6 linked regions of the Cricetulus griseus genome follow. The protein of the gene in region 1 interacts with the protein of each later gene in a pairwise test. Links are inferred from orthologs where the notes say so. Each region holds a gene or a part of one and is shown in the gene's direction. Other genes may lie near its edges. The genes, in order: Ube2l6, Rnf125, Dtx3, Rnf144b, Arih2 and Rnf144a.

Region 1 (4,214 bases):
TAAAAATTCAGAGACTAAGCCAGGCATGGTGGTGTAGGCTTTTAATCCCAGCACTCAGGAGGCAGAGGTGGGCAGATCTCTTGAGTTTTAGGCCAGCCTGGTCCACAGCAAGTTCCAGGCCAGTCAGGACTACACAGTGAGATCCTATCTCAAAAAACTACAAACATACAAAAAATTCAGAGGCTGAATTCTCTGTGTTTCAATTTCCTGAGAGTTTCTCTGACGACAGACACCACACTTTCTCAGCCTGGTGTGTTCCCTAAAATGGTGCTTGACACTCGGTATTAAGTGCTTGTTTAAGACTAACTAGAAATGGGTTCAAGTGCCCTGCTCCCTCATCCCCTACCTATATTTAGGGAATTGCTGATGGTGTACTGTTCATTGCCATCACTTAGGGGGTATCTGGTTAAAGTTATTGGGTTGAATAAACAGAATTGGCAAACGAAGCAAAGCAGACATATGGATCCCTGACAGAGAAAAAAAAAATCATGCGGCATACTGGGTCAAAACTTGGGGTTCAAAATATACTAATTTCTGGACTGCAAGGGATTAGGTGGGGAAGGTGGACTCCTCCCTAGTTTCATCACAGCAGCAGAATTTCTCCTAGATGCTGTTCAATATTGGGGGCGGGGGCGGCTGCTATTAATTACATGGTGGTCTCAACTTGGGCTAGGGAAAGGCATCTCTGCCCCTGCATAGAGGGGTGGAGACTCTTTTGACTGTTCATAAGGACACTCCGTAGGTCCATAGTTTGTAATCGGCTGGCAGTAAAATACAATAGGCTCCTGAACTCTATCTTAAGGCTTCTCCTACCCATCGGTTTCCCAAATCGCCTTACAGTAGGCACTTTCTAGGTGTTCTAGGTCGACAGAGCATCCAAAACTAAAAGAGAATGGGTCCAACAGCATCCACATGTGATGCTCAGCGCCAAGCAACCTAAAAGAAGCATCTATCGTAGCATCTCGGCCCAATTGCTGCACTGCACCTAGGATCCCACTCAACTAAGGGAGCGATACTTGGGGGGCATACAGTTTACACTGTCCCCACTCGTTTTTTGGATGAGGCACTGGGCCCACAAAGGCAAAGTGACCTGGCCCAGAGCTCTGAGAATCTTTCTGGAGGTAAGGCTTAGGCCGGAGGTCAGAGAGACCTGCAGTAGAACTAAGTTTGCAAAGGTAGTATCTCTGGCGAGTGTGTTCTCCGCATGGAGGAAGCTAATGAAGGCTGGGGATGTACTCCATCAAGGCTCCTGCGTGATGTCCCTCAAGGGGAGCAGTGTGCTCCGCGGACTTAGTCTCCTATCTACAAAGAGCTGAGTTTCTGGGATTCAAGACCACCGATCTGGGCACTTGACCGCGCCCTTCAGGTATCCACCGTTGGGATGGGGAGCACGTCTTAGAGTCCCTGTGGGTGGAGCAGATGTGGGTGGGGCTCCGGAGCTGTGGTTCCGAGAGCGGTGACCTGAGGGAGTCTGCTGCTGCCCCACACTCCCACCCAAGATGACAGCCAGCAAACGGGTGGCGAAGGTAAGCGCCTTTCTAGTGATCCCCGACCCCAAGCTCTACTCCCTCGGTTTTCCCCGGCTGACCTTTGAGTGCTTTTGTTTATCAGGGGTACTAGGGTGGGCTGAAACCCAGGCATCCTCACCCTCTCCCACTCTCCCACTGAAGGAGTGGGCGGAGTCTCTCTCTCTCTCTCTCTCTCTCTCTCTCTCTCTCTCTCTCTCTCTCTCTCTCTCTCTCTCTCTCTCTCTCCCTCTCCCTCTCCCTCTCCCTCTCCCTCTCCCTCCCTCCCTCCCTCCCTCCCTCCCTCTGCCTCTACCTCCCTCCGTGTGTGTATGAGAGTGTGTGTGTGTGTGTGTGTGTGTGTAGGGCTGGAGTTTGTGGGCCAGGATGGGGGACATACAAGACAGAGTTGTCACCAGCTTTCCGAGTTGTATTAGGGGGTGTGTATGTGGGGTGAGTATGAGAATGAATTAGCTTCCCCAAACTGGTTTCAGTTTCAATTCCGCTGAAAGTTTATTAGTGGGGCGTATCTCAGGCACCGGCAGAGTTCTGTTGCGCCACCTACTGGGTGGACCCATAATTTGATACTTTCAGAAGCTAGAGATGTGGATGGGCAGTGGGGTGGGGATGGGCGGTCCCTGGAATGAAAGTATACAGAATAGTTCCTGAATAAAAAATATCAATATGCCCTGAGTAGGTTTTTATGCAGTCCGCTACAGATGCTAAATGCCTGTTTTCTACTAGTCCAGTGCCAGGTGGCAGGGAGAAGAAAAGGAACAAAAATCTTTTTTGTTTGTTTGCTTTTGTTTGTTTGTCGACACAGGGTTTCTCTGTGGTTTGGAGGTTGTCCTGGAACTAGCTCCTGTAGACCAGGCTGGTCTCGAACTCTCAGAGATCCGCCTGCCTCTGCCTCTCGAGTGCTGGGATTAAAGGTGTGTGCCATCATCACCCGGCTAGGAACAAAAATCTTATCACCTTTGAGTGTTCATTTCTATCTGGGACACTCACTGTTTGAATACTACCTGGAAAAATGGAAAGGTGGCAGTTTCCTTAGGAATGTCTAGAGGGCTGGAGCCACGATTGGAGACCGTAGAGGAGAAACGCCGGTGAGCGGGAGCTGGCACCCCCAAGCTTTGGATCTCCCCAAAGGTCCCCTCTAGTCTGCAGAATTTAGGGAAAAACTGTTTCTTGCGGTGAGAAGGGATGTTTGCTGTCCTCAGCTCCATAAAGGAAAATTCTTTAAGGTGGAGAAGGCCAGAGCAGGCCCATCCCAGAACTAAAATTTGGAGGCTGGAGCACAATGGGGCAGAGGGTCCTTGCTACCTCAACACTAAGAGATGAACTTGCTTGTATTGCTCCAGAATCCTGAGTGCCAGGCCATTTTTTAAATCTAATTTTATAGCAACTCTGTGAGATAATTATGACTTCCCATTTTACAGAGGAGGACACCGAGATATCAGAGAGAGTAGCATGAGTGACCAGTGCTATTCAGATATTCAGCAGGAGTGATGGGTCTGGAATTGGAGCCTAGACTGACGAGGCTCTAACTCACAGGGCTTTTAACCGCCTTTGTGTCTTCACTTTCATTTCCTCTAAATCAGGTGACTTACTAGCAGACTTTGGGAGGAGCTGTGTGTCCTAGCTTGGATTTCAGCAATTATGGGAAAGTCATGACAGAATTCACCAAAGCACAAAAAATCCGAGTATTCCCAGTGGTAAAAGAGAAAATTCCCCTTCGATTTTTTGTTTGTTTTTGTTTTTGAGATAGGGTTTTATGTCCGGGTTGGCCTCAAACTTGATATGTAGCTGACAATGACCTTTAATTTTTTTAATTATTATTTTTATTTTATGTATGTGGGTATTCTGCCTGCATGTATTATCTGTGAACCATCTGCATGCCTGGTGCTACCAGAGGCAAGATCCCTTGTAACTGATTGTTTCAGAGATAGTTGTTAGCCACTATGTGGGTGCTAGGAATTGAATCCAGAGTTAGGAAAACAAGTGCACCTAACTGCTGAGCTATCTCACCAGACCAACCTCTGGTTTCTTGATTCTTCTGCCTCCATCTCTTAAGTCCTGGGATCGGAGATGAGCACCACTTTATCAAGTTTTATGCAGTGCTGGGACTTGAACCCAGGGCTCCATGAATGCCAAGCAAACACTACCAATTGAGCTGCATCTCCAGCCCAGAACATGTCCGCTCAAGATCTGTGTTCTACCTAAGCCTTTATTCTTGTCCAAGCAATTCTACCTTGTTGCTAGGTAGAATAGGCAAATGAATGGTCATGGCTCTAAGTAGAGGGCACAGGAAGCAATCTGCTGGTGTGACTAGATGTGGAAGAGAAGCTGAGAGATAGAAGGAAGTGTGGGAAGTTTATGAATTTGGGAGAGGGAGTACCGAAAGTTTACAGCAGGGAAGGGCCCTGTGTTTACACAAGCATTTCTCAACTTTTGTCTCTGTTGACCCTTGAGACCAGATAATTCTTTGTAGGATGTTTCATCAGCATCTGTGAACCTTACCTGCTGAACTGTCGTAGTACCCACCCCATTTATGACAATGGAAAATATTTCTAGATATTGGCAAATGTGCTCTAGTGGGTAAAGGTATCCCTGGATTCTCAAGAACCACTAGTTTGTATCTGTTCATTCTCCCAGAGGACTGCACTGCCTTGAATGTGTGAATGCTTTTCAACGTCTCTTCCCCCCCAC
Region 2 (3,500 bases), on another chromosome or scaffold:
TATGGTGACAAATGCCTATAACTACAGCATTCAAGGAAGCTGAGGCAGATTGATTGCTGAGAGGTTCAGGAAAGCCTGAACTACATAGCAAGTCTCTTGTCTCAAAACTAACAAACCAGAAAAGCAAGCCATGTGGTGGCACATACTCATAATCCCAGCACTTAGGGGCTAGAAGCAGGAGGACCAGGGTAAGCCTGGGCTGCATAGAGACACCCCGGCCCCCTCACAGAAAAGATACTAACCTAGCTATAGTCTGTACAGTCTGTTGGTTTTTTAAATTTCTAATTAGGTGGCTATTCTATTTTGACCACTGTTTTAGTGGTTGTAATTCATTCTCTGCTCTCTCCAGGTGTGTATGTCCATTCTGTCAGAGGGAACTGGATGAAGACTCTTTGCTGGATCATTGCATTACCCACCATAGATCAGAGAGGAGGCCTGTGGTAATGATTCCTACCTATTACCTGTCTGTCTGAATATAGTGTCTGAATTTAAGATATATTAGAATCTGGGCATCTTGGGTCGTGCTTGTAATCTCAGTGCTTGGGAGGTAAGGAAAAACAGATGCTGCAGGTTTGAGGCCAGTCTGGGCTGCACAGTGAGTTCTGTGCTAGCACTTACTTATTTTCTAATTTTTAAAGTTACTACATTTATTTATCTGTGTGTTCACACCAAGTTCTCCTGTGGAGATGAGAGAACTTTGGGGAGTCTTTTGGGAGAGTACTTTTGGCACAACTGGTGTCAAGTGCTTTTACCCAAGAGCATTTCACCAACCCCAAGAAACTCTATGTAATGTTGTGTTGCTGGGCATGATGGCACACACCTTTGGAAGGCAGAGCAGGTGGATCTTTGTGAGTTCAAGACAAGCCTGGTCTACATAGTGAGTTCTAGGATAGGCAGGTCTACAACAGTGAAGCCCTGTAATTTATTTTTAATTCTTAAGAGAACAATATTCAGCCGGGCGTTGGTGGTGCACACCTTTAATCCCAGCACTTGGGAGGCCGAGGCAGGTGGATCTCTGTGAGTTCCAGGCCAGCCTGGTCTCTAGGGCGAGTGCCAGGATAGGCTCCAAAGCTACACAGAGAAACCCTGTCTCGAAAAACAAAAAACAAAAAACAAAAACAAAAAAAAGAAAAAGAAAAAGAAAGAAAAGAAAACAATATTCAGATGAGAAAAATAAATGCATAGAATCTCACCATGCAGCCTTAGCTGGCCTGGAATTTTCTTTGTGGACCTGACTGGCCTTCAACTCACAGAGATCTTCCTGACTATAAATATAATTTTTTAATATTGAGATATGAAGCCAAGTGTAGTAGTAGAATGTTGTTTAAGGTCAGACTTGGCCACAGTAGATTCAAAGCTAGCCTGAGAACTTTATGAGAAACAAAACAAAACAGTGCTAGGAAGATGGCTTAGTCAGTAAAGTGCCTCACACAAACAGGAAGACCAAGTCTGTTTCTCTGCACTCTCTTAAAATCTGAGTGTGATGGTGTGGTACCCACCTGGAGTCCCAGGACTGAGAGCTAGCCTAGCTTAATTGCTTAGCTCCAGGTTCATTGAGAAGCTCTGTCTTCTCAATTGAGAAACATTGAGATGACTCGGTGTTTAAGAATACTTGCTGCTCTTGCAGGGGACCTAGGTTCAGATCTCAGCACCTATGTGGTACCATTCAGCAATCTATAACTTCAGTTTCAGAATATCTAATGCTCTCTTCTGGGTTCTATGGGCACCAGGCAGGGATATGGTACACATATTATATTCAGGCAAACACTCATACACATAAAAGTCAATAAATCATTTTTTAAAAAAAATCCTTAAAAACTGTATGGCACCTTAAATACAGTGGAAATAAAAAATGAAAATAAATTAAGATCATGAGGTGGAGAACTGAGGAAAACACCTGACACTGGCCTCTGACCTTCACATGAACATGCACAGACATGACCCTGTACATGACATGCAAACACAAGAACACATGTATACATCACTCCTACAGAAACTAAGCAAACAAAATGCAATGTTGAGGTATGCCCAATGGATTCATAGTTAAAATTCACATTCAATAGTGACTTCTTTTTTAAAATTCTGGGATTAATAATTATTTAAACTATTTATTGGTCTTTTTTTCTAGTTCTGCCCGCTTTGCCATTTACTACCTAATGAGAGCCCAAGTACCTTCAATGGCAGCTTAATTAGACATTTGCAAGTCAGCCACACTTTGTTTTATGATGATTTCCTAGTAAGTATATTTCTACCTTTTACATTATGCTTTTGTATTGTTAAGCTTACTTTTAAAACTCCCCATGAATAAAATTATAAAAAAATTGAGCATGTAGGAAAGTGTATAGATTAACATTAGCATTAAGGAGAATGTCATGTCTGTAGAGTAGCATTCACTACTAATATTGAAGTAGTCTTCTTTCAACAGCTGTGGTGGTGCACACCTTTGATCCCAGCCCTGGGGAGACAGAGGCAGGCAGAGCTCTGTGAGTTCAAGGACATCCTGGGCTACATAGTAAGTTCCAGGCCAGCCAGAGCCACCCAGTAAGACTCTGTCTCAATGAACAAACTAAAACCATAGACTGAACTTCCAATAGCAATTTCACCTTTTGTTTTAGAAGTGAGAGGAACTGGAGAGGGATAGGGTTCTTACTACATTTTGTTTTTACCTATAGAAGTGCTGATATGAAGCTTAAATTTCACTTTGATGCATAAAGAAGCAAGAAGAGGATTTTGTTGAAATTTTTCTGTCCGTAAATCAGTAATTAATAGAACTGTTAGTATTCTGAATCCTAGGAATGTCCTTCTTTTTCCCCAGTACTAGAGATTCACCCTGGGGTCTTGTCCATTCTAGGAAAATACTGTCATTCAACTGTGACCCCCCTCCCCCCCAAAAAAAAAAACTAGCAGGGATGTGTAAACTTTATTCCAGGTATGTGTGAAATGTAGAGAACATCCTGATCTGACAAGGCTTCCTTTCTTTTACTTTTATAAATAAATCTTAAGGTTTTAATTTACTTTTTACTTATGTCTATGTGTATGTTGTGGGTGGGGGGGTGTTTGTCCAGTAAGGTTAGAAGTGGACATCAGATTCCCTAGCGGTTGTGAGCCACCTAATGTGGTGTTGTAGAGTTTGAGACCACTGGGAAAAGACCCCAGAGTCAATTATAATTAAACAAATTTATTAAAGGGACTCAATCTCTCATCCAAATCAGAGATGTGCCTCGAAGATGCAGCTGAGGGAAGGGCTTTTAAAGGTGACATCCACAAAAAATGTTCTGCTGTACCAAGATTAGATGGTCGAGGTGACCTCAAAATAGTTCTTGAATGTCTGTACAAGCAAATTACAGAAGCCAAAACCAGCAATTAGTCATAGCATAACAAGCGCATGGTCATGGTTGTGCATTAAGGAGTCAGAGATGCTGGGAATGCATCTTCCAGGAGCTTGAGTCAGAGACAAACAGCTATTGGGTACCAAGGTGCATACATGCCTAGCACAAAAT
Region 3 (4,234 bases), on another chromosome or scaffold:
GCAGAGTCAGTGAGAGTTCAAGGCCAGCTTGAACAGCCTGGGCTACAGAGTAAGACATGGTCTCAGGAAAACTCAAAGAAGGTATGGGTTTGAGCATTGGAGATAACTCAGTGGATAGAGTGCTTGCCTAGCGTGTACAAAGCTCTGGGTTCCATCTCAGCACCATGCAAACCAGATGTGGTGGTGCACACCTATAATCTCAGCACTTGGGAAAAGAAGGCAAGGGGCATCAGGTATTCAAGGTCACCCTCAGTTCCATAGCGAGTTTGAGGCCAGCCAAGGATACGTGAGACTATCTGGGAAAACAAGATTCTGCCATGAGATAGACAGTCTTGTCTCTGCCCAGAGCCTTTGGAACCAAGACGGGCATTGTTGCTGTTCTGTTCCCCTTTAGACCTCCACACCCTGGGAGTGGGGGGTGGGCAGTAAGGGCACAAAGCTATGAGGTCCTCAGGGAGAAGCCCCCTTCTCACCTTTACACCAAAGGAAGCAGCAAAAGGCAGGCCCAGCTGGGGTGGGAGGGGCCTGCCTGCTGGGCCTCTTCCATCCATCCCATAGTCACCCTTTTCCCTGTTGATGCAATAAAGCCCCATGGCACCAGCAGCAGTTCCTTAGAACTGGATTCTCCAACCAAGAGGTTGTGTATTATGGGCAGAACGGTCATCTTCATTTATTGCTTCTGTTTTCCATCATTTTTTATTAATAAAAATCTCTATTTACCTGTATTTACTCCCAATATCACAATAAAATAAATTATTCGGTCCAAATCATTCACAGAAACTTTTTTCCCTCTGAAAATGTTGAGGGATCCCTGTGTTTACAGGATGCAGAGACCAAATGAAGAATATTGGTCTTCAAGGTGTTGTTGGGCTCCTGAATATGTGGGAAGTTTCCAAGATGGCTGTGGACTTATAGTTGTGGGGTGGGGTCATGGGAGTGGAAAACATTCCTCAACTTTGTGGGAATTCAGCAGTGATGGTGGCCAGGGAAGGGTAGGATGGTGCTGCCCCTCTTTCCCCAGTGCTCTGGCTACATCTCCTAACTTGAGTGGGCCTCTCAGCCTAACAGCTATTTGGGGAGGAATTCTCTGTTCACCCAGGCTTCCTGGGAAAGCTATCTACTTAGAGGGCAGGAGGAGTACAACAAGGTCCTGGGAAAGCGAAGGAGTGACCAGTCCTCCGGTTCGTGGGGGAGGGGATGGGAAGGGATGGATGACGCGGTTGTGGCTGCTCTGGGAGACTCAGGAGGTCTTGGCTGAGGTCTTGGCTGGTGGAAAAACCTGGCTTGATGTGGCCTCGGGGAAGAGAGTTGCAGGAGGCGGAGACTGTTCTGGTGAGAAGCAGGGCAGAGCTTTTTTTTCTTTGGGAATTTTTAACTCTTTTGAGCCACGTACTTGACAGCAACACCACCCCAAGCCTTTTTTTTTTTTTTTTTTTTTCTGTTCACTTCGCATTCTGCACCAACCTGTGTCCCTGTTTGTGGAAAGCTAGTCACCCGTCCCCATCTGGCAACAGGCTGTGGGGGGTCACCGGAGGTAACACTAGCAGGAGGGAGGGGATGGAAGTAGTTTAGTCACAGGGTTTATTGTGTAGTACCAGTGTTTTCCTTTTTTTTTTTTTCCAGAACTCTTCCCATACAACATTTTTTTTTTCTTTTAAAGCTCTTACAGCCTAAGATTTTAAAAAAAGACTGCCTTCCCCTCCAAATCCATACACCCACCGCACTGCTCACGCACCCATCCACTACCGGCTCCCAAAGGTGCCACGCAGCTGGCTGGGGAAGAAGAAGGGGAGAGGGCTCCTCCGGGAGGAGGGAAGCCAAAAGAGCGGCGTTTCTAAGGGATTTCACCTCCTACCCTCGGTTACATGACGCCACCCCTCCCTCCAAAGCCTGGATCTGCGCCTCCATTTTTGTTTTGGGGCAGAGAGGCAGGGGCTCCCGGGTAGCAGGAGGAGGGGACCAAGGGAAACGGTGATCATCACCCGCCCAGGGGAGAGGGGTGCTGTCCTCCCTCCTTCCTCTTCATCGGCGCCCCGGCTTCCCCTGCCACCTTCCCGGGGTCTTCCCCCGCCCCTTGTTGCTAAGGCCCGGACCGTCATCCCAGCAACAGCCTCAGTCATGTGACCGGCAATGGCGGCGCTGACGAGAGGTAGGTGAGCCCGGCGCCCCCACACCCACCGCGTGCCCCCCAGGCCCGATCGGCACCCTCGCGAGCCCCCCGAGCCCCTCCGTCCCCTCCTCCGCCTTTGACCTCCGGCGCTCGCTCTCCCGGCGGCGCTGCGAGCCGGCACCATCGGGGCCGGGCCCAGCATCATCCTGCCGGCACCTCCAGCCCTCGGCCTCCATTTGGGGGTTCTGAGGGCCGCAGTCGGGCGGACACACGCCCTCACCCAGCGGCGGGACTCCGGGGCTTCCTCGAGTAGGGATGCGGGAGTTGGCTTCGGGTTGGATGGATCTGGGGGCCAGGTCTGGGGGAGGAGAAGGGTGGGGGTGCCTCGGTGGACACCCCCCAGGGGACCCTCGCCCTTTCTCGGTGTCCCTGCCTGGGGCCGCTGCCCGGAGGGAGTCACTGGGCTCCTGTCCGGCCTGGTTTGCCTCAGAGGAATGCTAGACCAGACTAAACTGTGGCCCCGCCTCCTTGTGCTGTGCCAGCAGGGCTTGGAGCTAGGACACCGAGATCCTGGGTCCTCTGTGCCGGGGTGGGGGCATGCTACGGTGCACGGGCCATGTGGGCTGGGACTCTAGAGTTTCATCTTAAGGGCCCTAGGATGAAGGCACTGAGGGACAGCGGCTTCTTCTTTGGATGAGTCAAGGAATTGAGGTCACTGTTAATGGCCCCCTCTTCCTAATTGAGCCGCACTCCGGGAACAGCCCCGGAGCTGAATGTGACAGGACTCAGGGGGGAAAACGTGGGGGCCCTCTAGCTGAGCTCCTGCTTGAGCCCTGCCCCTCCTAAATGCAGATCCAAGAGCTGACAACAGCTCTGCAGGCAATGGGTTTAAAGGTGACAATGAGAACTTTGTTATTGCAGGGACTGCTATCACTTTGCTGGCATCCCTAACAGACTTCGCTCTCAGGGAAAGGTCCCCCGTCAACAACAGGGACTTGACTTATTTGAGAATGTGGAGTAAAGAAATGAGTTGAGGAACATAGGAAATATTTCTGTCAGTGTAGTCAATCTGAGGGAGATGGCAAGTGCAGGCTTCATCCCCAGGGCCTTTGTCTGAACCTAGGATCTCTCTTCCTCTGCACTGGGGTTGGTGGTGGTGGGGAGCTGGTCTGGTGAAGTTCCTGAGCAATTTGAGAGGCTGTGCCTGGAATTCTGCAGGGGAGGAGAGGCGATATAAGTGTTTTGTTTCTGGGCTGACTGAGGAAGTGCTATCATAACTCTCTACCTTCTTCATCCCCAGCTCTGGTCAGCTCAATGTGGAAGTAGAGAGACTTGCACCATCTCCCATGGTCTTTTCAGGTACCTGCACCCCCAGGGGACGCTCAGTTCATGTTCTTCCCATGCCCAGGACACTACTCCAGGTTCCTGTCTGTTTCAAAGGCTACTGAGTTGGGGCCTGTGGGGATTGGAGAACCTATTCTTACTTCCTTTTCTTTCTCATCCCACTAGGCCAACGGTCTCCAAGTAGCAGGGAAAAGGAGTGAGCCTGCATGCCAATCCTAAGCTCTTCCGGATCAAAGTGAGCAAAAAGTAGGGGAGGGAAGTCTCCCTTCTCATTTGAAAAGCCTATTTTTCTTTTCTATGAGGGGAAGGGGCAGGTTGCTGGTGGTCAGGGGAGAAATGAAAGAAACAAGTAAGGTTGGTGCTTGGTTTAGATAATGATAAAATATAGAAACTCTTGTTCCCCAGCAAGTGCTGGGACTATGGGAGAGAAGGGGTGATAGAAAAACAGTTTGCAGGAGGTATTGGGGGTTGGCTTTGAGGAACACAGGAGGTGATGTGAGGTTTGGAGGGAACCTGGAGTAGGAAGCACTTATATGTGTCAAATGGGGACACTCCCCACGCTGAGTCCCTTTCACCCTGGGGGCAGTGTCGTTCGTCCTGTCCAGAATGGCAGCCTGTGGAGGCACCTGCAAGAACAAAGTGACTGTCTCCAAGCCTGTGTGGGACTTCCTGAGCAAGGAGACCCCAGCCCGGCTGGCCCGGCTTCGGGAGGAGCACCGAGTGTCCATCCTCATAGATGGGGAGACTTCTGACATCTACGTGCTCCAGCTCTCCCCACAG
Region 4 (2,464 bases), on another chromosome or scaffold:
GCTTCCCTTCCCCATTAGCTGTCAGTTGGTGGCATTTCTCACGTCAGGCATGCTCCTGGCTTATGGTTCTCATGTTCCGTGCAAACCTCTGCTAGAGCTCACTGTCAGTTACCTGTCGGAGATGGTTGATCGGGTCATTCGGTTTTCTGTTGCCTCAGCCAATAGTTTGTTACGATTTGTCTCCTGGGTGATTTACAGAGCTGCAAGCCAAGCTGAAGAGGACGGGTTGGGATTCCTAGAAGAAGTCATTCATATCGTTAGGTGACCTGTGCACCTAATATCCACCTCTCGACTCCACTTTGTGCACTTACTGAAACTCCTCTCTTTGTGTTTCAGAATGACATATTCCTCAGGCATTATGACAAAGGGCCATGCAGGAATAAGCTGGGCCACTCGAGAGCATCGGTAATGTGGAACCGAACACAGGTACCCTCCCTCCTCCATGAGATGCATTGGACTTAGGTAGCTTCCTTGCTTTCCCATGCCCTCTTGGGAGGTTCTGGTACAAGGAGAGAGAGAACAATGGGGCAGCCCCCTGAAGTTAATTCAAGAGCACAATTGCTGAGGGACAGAGGCACCAGAGAACTGAGCACTACAGTGAGCAGCCAAGTGAATACCCATGTTCTTTGCTCTTGCAAAACATGGGAGGAGTTTCCTCCAAGCAGTTAGAGCACACCAGCCATCAAAGGAGAGTTCCCCAATACGATGGGCTCCTGCCGGGCCTCGGATCCCTCTGTACATGTCATTGTGTGTTTATGTGGCAGGTTCAAAGGGAGTTGTGGTTTGTTTTTTAATAGTGTTTTGTATTTATCAAAGGCTATGCTCCCTTTGAGGAAACCAATGCTCATATCCTAACAAACATTATTAATGTCCCTGTGAGACTGTTAGAGAAGCCCTGATAGAGAACGAGCCAACACCCACAGTTCAGGGTTTGGAGTTAACCGTTAAGCTTGAGTCAGCCTTTTGTTTGTTCCCTTGATTTAGTCCTTTGTGGCTTTGTAATTTGTGTCCAGTTTAGAACATTGCTAAATGTGCCTGAGACAGCATCCTAGTCATTCATCTAACAGACTATTTATTATAGACCGGGTGACTGGAACAACAAAGATGGCTTCTTTCTAGTTGTGGATGCTGCAAGTCTGAACTTCGGGTATCAATGTGGACGGGTTCTGCTGAGGGTCCTTATGTTAGACACTTGTCTCAGGACTTAAAGGAGCAAGAGTTCAATTTGGCTCATGGTTTGAGGACATATGGTCCATCATGGTGGGGAAGACATGGCAGAGTTCACGCCAGTGGAACTTGAGGCTGGGCCTCCTTATGTCTTAGCAGAGCAGGAATCAGTGAAAGGGGAATACGAGCATCCATCAGGCTTTCTTCTTTTTTATTTTTGTTATTCAATCCAATGCCCAGCCCATGGGATGGCATCACACATTTTCCCTTCTCAGTTAATCCTGATTAAATGTGCCCACAGACACATTCAGGGGTGTGTTTCTTAGATGATTCTAGATCTAGATATGTTGGCAATGAGGCGTGACACTCATGGCACTCCTCCTGTTCATAGATGATAGTTTTATTGCTGTGTTCTCCCACGGCAGAAAGCTGAGAGTGGAGGAGAACTCTTGAGCTCCCTGGTACCACCAAGGCTCCAGAGTCTCAGCTAGGGCTCCCCTCTCCAAGTGCCATCACACTGAGCATGAAGGTTTCAACATGGGGATTTGGAAGGGGGAGACACACACATTCACACCATAAAGGCCATTACACTTGGAAGCATGTACACATCCACGATGATGTAACTTCTGAAACAGGATTTTCTCTTCAATTTATAGGTGGTAGGGATCCTTGTGGGATTAGGCATTATTGCCTTGGTGACTTCACCCCTGCTACTCCTGGCCTCTCCATGTATAATCTGCTGTGTCTGCAAGTCCTGTCGAGGCAAGAAGAAAAAGCATGATCCATCCACAACTTAGTTACCTACACAGACATCTGGGTTATATGAGACAGCGCAGCGATAAAGCCCCACTTAGCAACCTTGCCTCCTTCTCCTTGCCAAACTTTGGAAGTGCCTCTGTGTCCAGACCCTGAACTTGCCTGACAGCATTCGGTGTTGGAAAAGGCCAAGTCCCGGGTGCCAGTGTTCCTGCGTGTCGAGATGCAACAGTCCAGACTGTGTCTGTGGAGCAGGCTGGGAGCTTCGCCCTTGCCTGGGAAACTCTTAACGCATCACCATCTTGCCATCCAAAGGATCCCACCAGGCTGCTCATCTTCCGTCCAAACCTAAGGAGCCTGGATGAATATTCAGTGTAATAATGGCATTGCTGTGCTTGGTGGCATTGCAAACTGAGCAAAAGTCTGTGTTGATTCCACTGCCACGAGTCACATGGCAGAAGCCAAGAGTCAGAGGGGAAGGATAAGACTAGCATAGTAAGAAGTTCTATGAGCAATAGAGCTGGCTGCTTATCTCAGGAGT
Region 5 (2,632 bases), on another chromosome or scaffold:
CTCTTCCAGAGGTCCTGAGTTCAATTCCCAGCAACCACATGGAAGCTCACAACCATCTATAATGATCTGATGTAACTCTTCTGGCATGGAGGCAGAACACTATATACATAATAAATAAATCTTTTTTAAAAAATATGACCTCGTGCAGTGGTGGCACTCAATACTTTAATCTCTGCACTCAGGAAGCGGAATCAGGCAAATCTCTTGAGTTCAAGGCCAGCCTGCTCTACAAAGAAAAGTTGAGGACAGCCAGGGCTATTATATAGAGAAACTCTTATCTCAGATGCATGTGTACATTTTATTGTTACTTTTTGGTTTTTCAAGACAGGGTTTCTCTGTGTAGCTTTGGAGCCTGTCCTGGCACTCACTCTGGAGACCAGAATGGCCTCGAACTCAGAGATCCACCTACCTCTGCCTCCCGAGTGCTGGGATTAACGCCCACACCCGGCCTTATTGTTACAAGTTTATCATTGTTATAGCTGTCGCTAATTATGCTGAATTTTGTTTTGTCCCCCGCCCCCTCCCCCCAGACAGGGTTTCTGTGTATTGTTTTGGAGCCTGTCTTGGAACTCTCTCAGTAGATCAGGCTGACCTCGAACTCACAGAGATTCGCCCGCCTCTGCCTCGAGAGTGCTGGGATCAAAGGTGTGCACCCCCAAAGGCTGATTTTTTTTTTTAATGGCTATGTAAATGTTCCATCTGTATTGCCTTATTGTATCATCATTTGAAATGACAGTTGTTTCTATTTTCACTGTCACAAATAAGACCAAGAAAAGTCTTTATGCATAGAGTTAGGGTTTCATATAGCTCAGGCTGGCCTCAAACTTGCAAAGTAACCAAGGAGGACCTAGAGCTTTTATCCTTAGTATTAGGATTGCAGGGATGAACCACCATACACAATTTACAATGTTGGGAACTGAACCCAAGGCTTTGTACATTTTGGTAGGTATTTCACCAACTGAGATGCATCCCTAGCCCTGATTTTGAGGGTTTGATAGGCTAGATGACTGGGGGAAAGTTAAAATGTTGAATGAATACCGTGTCTTGAGAATATCCCTTTTAACTTCACTTTTGCAGCATCTGTGTCCCATTATTTTGAGAATATCTTTTCCTTTGGCTTTAAGTTTCTCACCTTCCATTGGTGGTGGAAGACAAATATTTTCTTGCTGTTTGCCCCTCTCTTCTGGACCTCTTTGGATGTTTTCCAGCTCAGGCATAACGAGTAGTAGGCACTCTCAGGACAGTGACAGGCTTGTCAGTTGCTATTTCGAGCCTGAGGTGCTGCATGTACCCTCCATCTGCAGGCCCTGCCCGGCTACAGCCCCCTCTCCTTTTGACCCTCCTGCTCTGCCCATACAGTTTGAATACCAGCAGGCTCAGCTGGAGGCTGAGATTGAAAACCTTTCGTGGAAAGTTGAGCGTGCAGACAGCTATGATAGAGGGGTAAGTACCTTTTGCCCTATTGCAGGTAAGGAAAGGCACTCATACTACTAGGGGGTTGTACTGGGGATGGGACTTACGCTGCTGCAGTCGAGGGTGGAAGATTGATTTTTTTTTAGACTACTTGGAGCCCCTAATAACGATGGCTGTGGCTTTGGTTACTCTCTGCTCCTAGCATTGGGACTTGTAAACACCTGCTGTGTGTCCCTTATACAGGACTTGGAAAACCAAATGCACATTGCCGAGCAGCGGAGAAGAACCCTGCTGAAGGACTTTCACGACACCTAGGCAGGCTGTGGATGTGCCGGGGTGAGGAAGACGTAGCTGTGAGGCCTTCCGGCTACCACACTGCATGCTGCAGGCTCTGCCTTTCACGACCCCAGGCAACAGCCAGGCCCACTCCTGAGAGACACTGGCAACACACCTCTTAGTCAATTTGTTTTCTCCTTATCTTTTTGCTTTTTGTTTCTACCAGGGTAGAGGCCATGTTGAACTGGCCTCTAGTAAGGACTTTTAAATTCTCCCTGGATGGTTGTTGGGAGGGAGGGAACTTTTTTTTTTCCTGAATGGCTATTAATAGTATTAGATCATTACAACTTATGTAATTTTCAAAGGTTGTACGATTTGAAAGAAAGGCAAACCATAGGATAACACAGAGCCCTTTTGAAAATAAATTGGCATTGGAGTGTTTACCCTCTAGCTACTTTACTTAGAATGTAACTTGATGCTGCCCACCCACCGAGCCTCAGAATGTCTGTGCTGCCGGGGTTCCTGGGGTGGTCCCTGCTTTCCAGCATCCTCTTTGACGTTACCTGGAGTCCCAAGGGAAGAGTATGTGTGGCAGATGGTAAGGAACTGAGTTGGCCTGCATAACAGGCATGGAGCACAGAGAGTCAAGTACCTTCTGCCGTAGCTGAGCAGCAAGGGCACGGAGCATAGCAGGGTTTCACTATGGGCTTGCTTTTATTGAATGTGAGACTTAGTGAGTTGGGCCACCAATCCAGAACCCACGGCAGTGCAGAGGTTGGCATTCGAACCTCCGGACTGGGAGACTGGTGCTTCCTTTTGTCCTGTAAAGATGAGAGATCCACATTTGAAAGGAATTGTTCCCCCAAATAAGTTTCCTTTTCTTTGGTCGTTTCTTTTGATCCGGTATTTAAGTGGTGTACTCTGACCAGTGTCACATGTGGCC
Region 6 (3,500 bases), on another chromosome or scaffold:
CAATTCTTTCGAAGAGTTGGAAGCCACAGTGGAAAGTGTAGTGACTAGAACATTCTGTAGCTGCACTGATGCTCTCCATGCCTGTTTTCCACAGTCGACGCTTCTTTTTTGAAGTTCCTTTGTCCCCAGACTCAACCTTCCATCTCCCAAGCCTTTGGTGATACCAGGTGACACTATACTCTGCTGTCTTGGTTTGTTTTCTGTGATAAGCACCATGACCAGAAGAGGAAGGGATTTGTTTCGTCTTGCAGGTTACGCTCCATCTTTGAGGAAGCTCTGATAGGGCAAGAACTTGAAGCAGACACTTTGGAGGAAGGCTGCTTATGGGCTTGCTCCCTGGATCTAGCTACCTTTCTCACACAGCTCAGGCTCACCTGTTTAGGGAGGGCAATACCCACAGTAGGCTAGGCCTTCCTACATCACTTGGCAATCAAGACCGTACCTCATAGACATGGCCACTGGGCAATCCGATTGAAGCAATTTTCCAGTTGAAGTTGGCTCTTCCCAAGTGATTCTAGGTTTGTGTTAGGTTGACAGTAGAAAATATGGCATGCTTCTGTGTTGATTCAGATGTCGGGTTAGTAGGTGTAGTCTTTGTTCTGTGAGCAGTTTTTGATGTAACAGAGATGCTTCAAAAATGATTGCTTATGCTATAACAGTCGTGTGTGTGTGTGTGTGTGTGTGTGTGTGTGGTATGTGGTGTGTATGTATGTGTGTGGTTATGTTTGTATATGGTATGTGGTTTGTGTGTATGTGTTTTGGTTTTCTTTAGTGTTTAACTCTCTGGTTCAGAATATATAAAATATATAATATCATATTATATATATTAATATATAATATATAATATAATATATAATAACAGGAAGTCACTGCATAGCCAGGGTGACATTGAACTCATTATTTTATTGCCTCATCCACCAAAGTACAGGAATTACAGGCCTGAGTCATCAGACCCAACTTAATGAGTTAATTGAGGAAGAAAAAGAATGGGAAATAAGACAAAAAACAAACAAACAACAAAAACAAACAAACAACAACAACAAAAAAGAGTCAGCCTTTGAGTTCAGCACTTTTACTCTGGGACTTAGTACTTCTGTTCGTAGAAAGTGGCCTTGGGTTGTGTTTAACTCCCCGGGGCCTCACTTTCCCTGTGGTGAATGGGAGTGATAACACCTCCCACAGTTTTGGATTTAGGACTCCTTATTGGGCTAACAGAGACAAAGTGACTAACAACAGTCTGGTATTTGGAAGGCATTTGATTAAAGAAAGATGATAGATATATCAGAAAGTGCGTCAGTTCCTGTCTGCGGGATGTTTATTTATTGTAACAGAAGTTTCTCTGGTTGTCTAATTTGTGTGTATTCGAGAACTCATTTTAAGACATCTTTTTGCCATTAGATTGGGAGACAAGGCTTGTGAGTCATGACCCACTTTACATCTGGAAGAGGGCCGTGGCTGGTTTTGATGGATGCAGGAGCAGACACTCTGTAGTAAACAAATCAATATTCCCACTACACAAGCACAGTGTGTGCTGCTCCGAGATGCAATTCACTGGTCTGCTGAGCTTGCTCTTGGGGTTGCAGTCACCCAGTGTGACTCACTGCTTATGGTCACAAGCAAGCCTTTGAACAGTGTGGTTATGAGAAGCTCTGAGGGCATACATTTCACACCTGGTTTAATTGTTCTTTATCCCATTGAGGGAGAATGAGGCTGGGTCATTATATTGGTCTCTGGCCAGAGCTGTCCAAGTTTTCTGAGTTCGGTTGTTTGGTTTAAGACATTCCAGGACCCTAAAGAGACTAAATTAGACAGATTTAATTATAGACAGTAAAGCAATGATCTCGTTGCTAAGGATTTGGGCTTTTTTATGCCTGTGACTGTAAAAGGCAAATCACATAGGCGGACAAATGAGACAACAGCCCCTGCTTATTTAGCTGCTATACCAAGATTTGTGCCAGGTGTTGAGATATTCTTTATTTCTGTCAAGAAAGCCTAGTAACTCAGGCATTCGGATTTTATCATCTAGAGAGCTAGGAGCCAAATGCATCAAGGATGTGTCCCCATGGCCTTGGTAGAGAATACAAGATTGCCTGAGTCTGTCTGACTCAATAGACTGCAGGGTCATGCTCCCTTTTCACATTGCCACCATGGACAGGGCATAGAATAGACCTTCACCACCAAGTCAAGAGTCAGCAGGTCAGCAATGCTGTCTAGGTTCCGGGTGGGGTGGCACTGTAGCCCTGGCAGGACTTGGTGATATTCCTATCTTTTCCTGATTACCTGCCCTCTCTTGTTTTGGGAAGGCCTCCATGGATGGCAGTGAGTTTGCTTCTGATAACTCCACCATCCTGTTCCTCAAACAGAACTCCAAAGCGTCTCTCATGTAGGTGGGCCATATTCTGAGCCAGAGTCCTCATCAGAGCCATGGCAGATGCCTCAAGCTAAAGGCTTCTGTTTATAGCCGTGGTTGCCAACCTTCCTAATGCTTTAATATAGTTCCTCATGTTGTTGTGATCCCAACCATAAAATTCTTTTCATTGCTACTTCATAACTTCTACTATTATGAATCATCATGTAAATATCTGATATGGAGAATATCTGATTTGTGGCCCCTGTAAAAGGGTTGTTTGAGCCCCAAGGGGGTCATGATCCTCAGGTTGATAAACACTGGCTTAGAGCCCAGGGCAATACTTTGCACATGATGTCAAGTCTCAGGAAAGTAGCTTTGGGAAGTTGGCCTTGGCCTCCCTCTCTGCTCCTTCCCTCCCTTTATCTTACCATTTTCCCTTCTTCCTTCCCTTGCCTTCCCCTCCCTTGCCCTGTCTTATCTTGCAAAGGCTGTTTTTCTCCCTCTGACCCTTACAGTCTTTCTGCCTCTTCTTCTCCAATGGTCCCCGAGCCTTGTGAGTAGGGATATGATATTGCTGTCCCATTTAGAGCTGAACATTTTAAAAGTCTCTTCCTCTGTGCACATTGGCTAGTTGTGGGACTTGTATTAATTACTCTACTGAAGAAACCTTTCTGATGAAGATGGAAAGATGCACTCCTCTTAGGGTATGATAATAAGAACCTAGGGAGAAGTTTAATATGATTTCTATTCAACAGAAGAGTAGTCATGGATTCATCCTTAGGACCCATGACCTAGACAACCATGTGCCATATGCAGTTGACAGTACCAAGTATGAGTTCCATCTTAATGACCATGCTGTAAATCCAACCAGGAACTAGTTGGTTATTCCTATAACATCCATACCACTATTGCCCCAATAGGCATATCTCGCCAGGCCAGTAGTTAAGGTAAGCTCTCAGGGTTAATGGCTATCTGTTTGCTTAACACATCACTTGGTCTTTGGTATTTTGGATGTGCACGTGTTTATACACTTTTCTTTCTTCCAGTGCCTGAAACAGTATGTTGAACTCTTAATCAAAGAAGGCCTAGAAACTGCGATTAGCTGCCCGGATGCTGCATGCCCCAAAAAGGGCCACCTTCAGGAGAATGA

The links.
Region 2: the proteins of Ube2l6 (region 1) and Rnf125 interact in a two-hybrid assay, tested with the Homo sapiens proteins (3 studies listed by BioGRID and IntAct). The link is inferred for Cricetulus griseus from reciprocal best matches to the Homo sapiens genes UBE2L6 and RNF125.
Region 3: the proteins of Ube2l6 (region 1) and Dtx3 interact in binary tests that used the Homo sapiens proteins (3 or more experiments, as listed by UniProt). The link is inferred for Cricetulus griseus from reciprocal best matches to the Homo sapiens genes UBE2L6 and DTX3.
Region 4: the proteins of Ube2l6 (region 1) and Rnf144b interact in binary tests that used the Homo sapiens proteins (3 or more experiments, as listed by UniProt). The link is inferred for Cricetulus griseus from reciprocal best matches to the Homo sapiens genes UBE2L6 and RNF144B.
Region 5: the proteins of Ube2l6 (region 1) and Arih2 interact in binary tests that used the Homo sapiens proteins (3 or more experiments, as listed by UniProt). The link is inferred for Cricetulus griseus from reciprocal best matches to the Homo sapiens genes UBE2L6 and ARIH2.
Region 6: the proteins of Ube2l6 (region 1) and Rnf144a interact in a two-hybrid assay, tested with the Homo sapiens proteins (2 studies listed by BioGRID and IntAct). The link is inferred for Cricetulus griseus from reciprocal best matches to the Homo sapiens genes UBE2L6 and RNF144A.

Annotation. Positions count from the first base shown.
Region 1 is NC_048599.1:90,735,785-90,739,998, reverse strand, and holds the start of Ube2l6 (ubiquitin/ISG15-conjugating enzyme E2 L6), read left to right. Parts: upstream 1-1,414; 5' UTR 1,415-1,499; coding exon 1,500-1,526; intron 1,527-4,214. UniProt on the Homo sapiens protein: Catalyzes the covalent attachment of ubiquitin or ISG15 to other proteins. Functions in the E6/E6-AP-induced ubiquitination of p53/TP53. Promotes ubiquitination and subsequent proteasomal degradation of FLT3.
Region 2 is NC_048595.1:216,036,427-216,039,926, reverse strand, and holds part of Rnf125 (E3 ubiquitin-protein ligase RNF125), read left to right. Parts: intron 1-349; coding exon 350-440; intron 441-2,128; coding exon 2,129-2,236; intron 2,237-3,500. UniProt on the Homo sapiens protein: E3 ubiquitin-protein ligase that mediates ubiquitination and subsequent proteasomal degradation of target proteins, such as RIGI, MAVS/IPS1, IFIH1/MDA5, JAK1 and p53/TP53.
Region 3 is NW_023276806.1:130,519,644-130,523,877, forward strand, and holds the start of Dtx3 (probable E3 ubiquitin-protein ligase DTX3), read left to right. Parts: upstream 1-1,434; 5' UTR 1,435-1,534; exon of another isoform or gene 1,535-1,555; intron 1,556-1,660; 5' UTR 1,661-2,149; intron 2,150-3,410; 5' UTR 3,411-3,469; exon of another isoform or gene 3,470-3,531; intron 3,532-3,619; 5' UTR 3,620-3,688; coding exon 3,689-3,689; exon of another isoform or gene 3,690-3,699; coding exon of another isoform or gene 3,700-3,700; intron 3,701-4,040; coding exon 4,041-4,234. UniProt on the Homo sapiens protein: Regulator of Notch signaling, a signaling pathway involved in cell-cell communications that regulates a broad spectrum of cell-fate determinations.
Region 4 is NC_048596.1:266,980,782-266,983,245, forward strand, and holds the end of Rnf144b (E3 ubiquitin-protein ligase RNF144B), read left to right. Parts: intron 1-336; coding exon 337-426; intron 427-1,823; coding exon 1,824-1,964; downstream 1,965-2,464.
Region 5 is NC_048597.1:216,779,009-216,781,640, reverse strand, and holds the end of Arih2 (E3 ubiquitin-protein ligase ARIH2), read left to right. Parts: intron 1-1,304; coding exon of another isoform or gene 1,305-1,337; exon of another isoform or gene 1,338-1,359; coding exon 1,360-1,443; intron 1,444-1,656; coding exon 1,657-1,728; 3' UTR 1,729-2,132; downstream 2,133-2,632.
Region 6 is NC_048600.1:29,099,032-29,102,531, reverse strand, and holds part of Rnf144a (E3 ubiquitin-protein ligase RNF144A), read left to right. Parts: intron 1-3,396; coding exon 3,397-3,500. UniProt on the Homo sapiens protein: E3 ubiquitin-protein ligase which accepts ubiquitin from E2 ubiquitin-conjugating enzymes UBE2L3 and UBE2L6 in the form of a thioester and then directly transfers the ubiquitin to targeted substrates.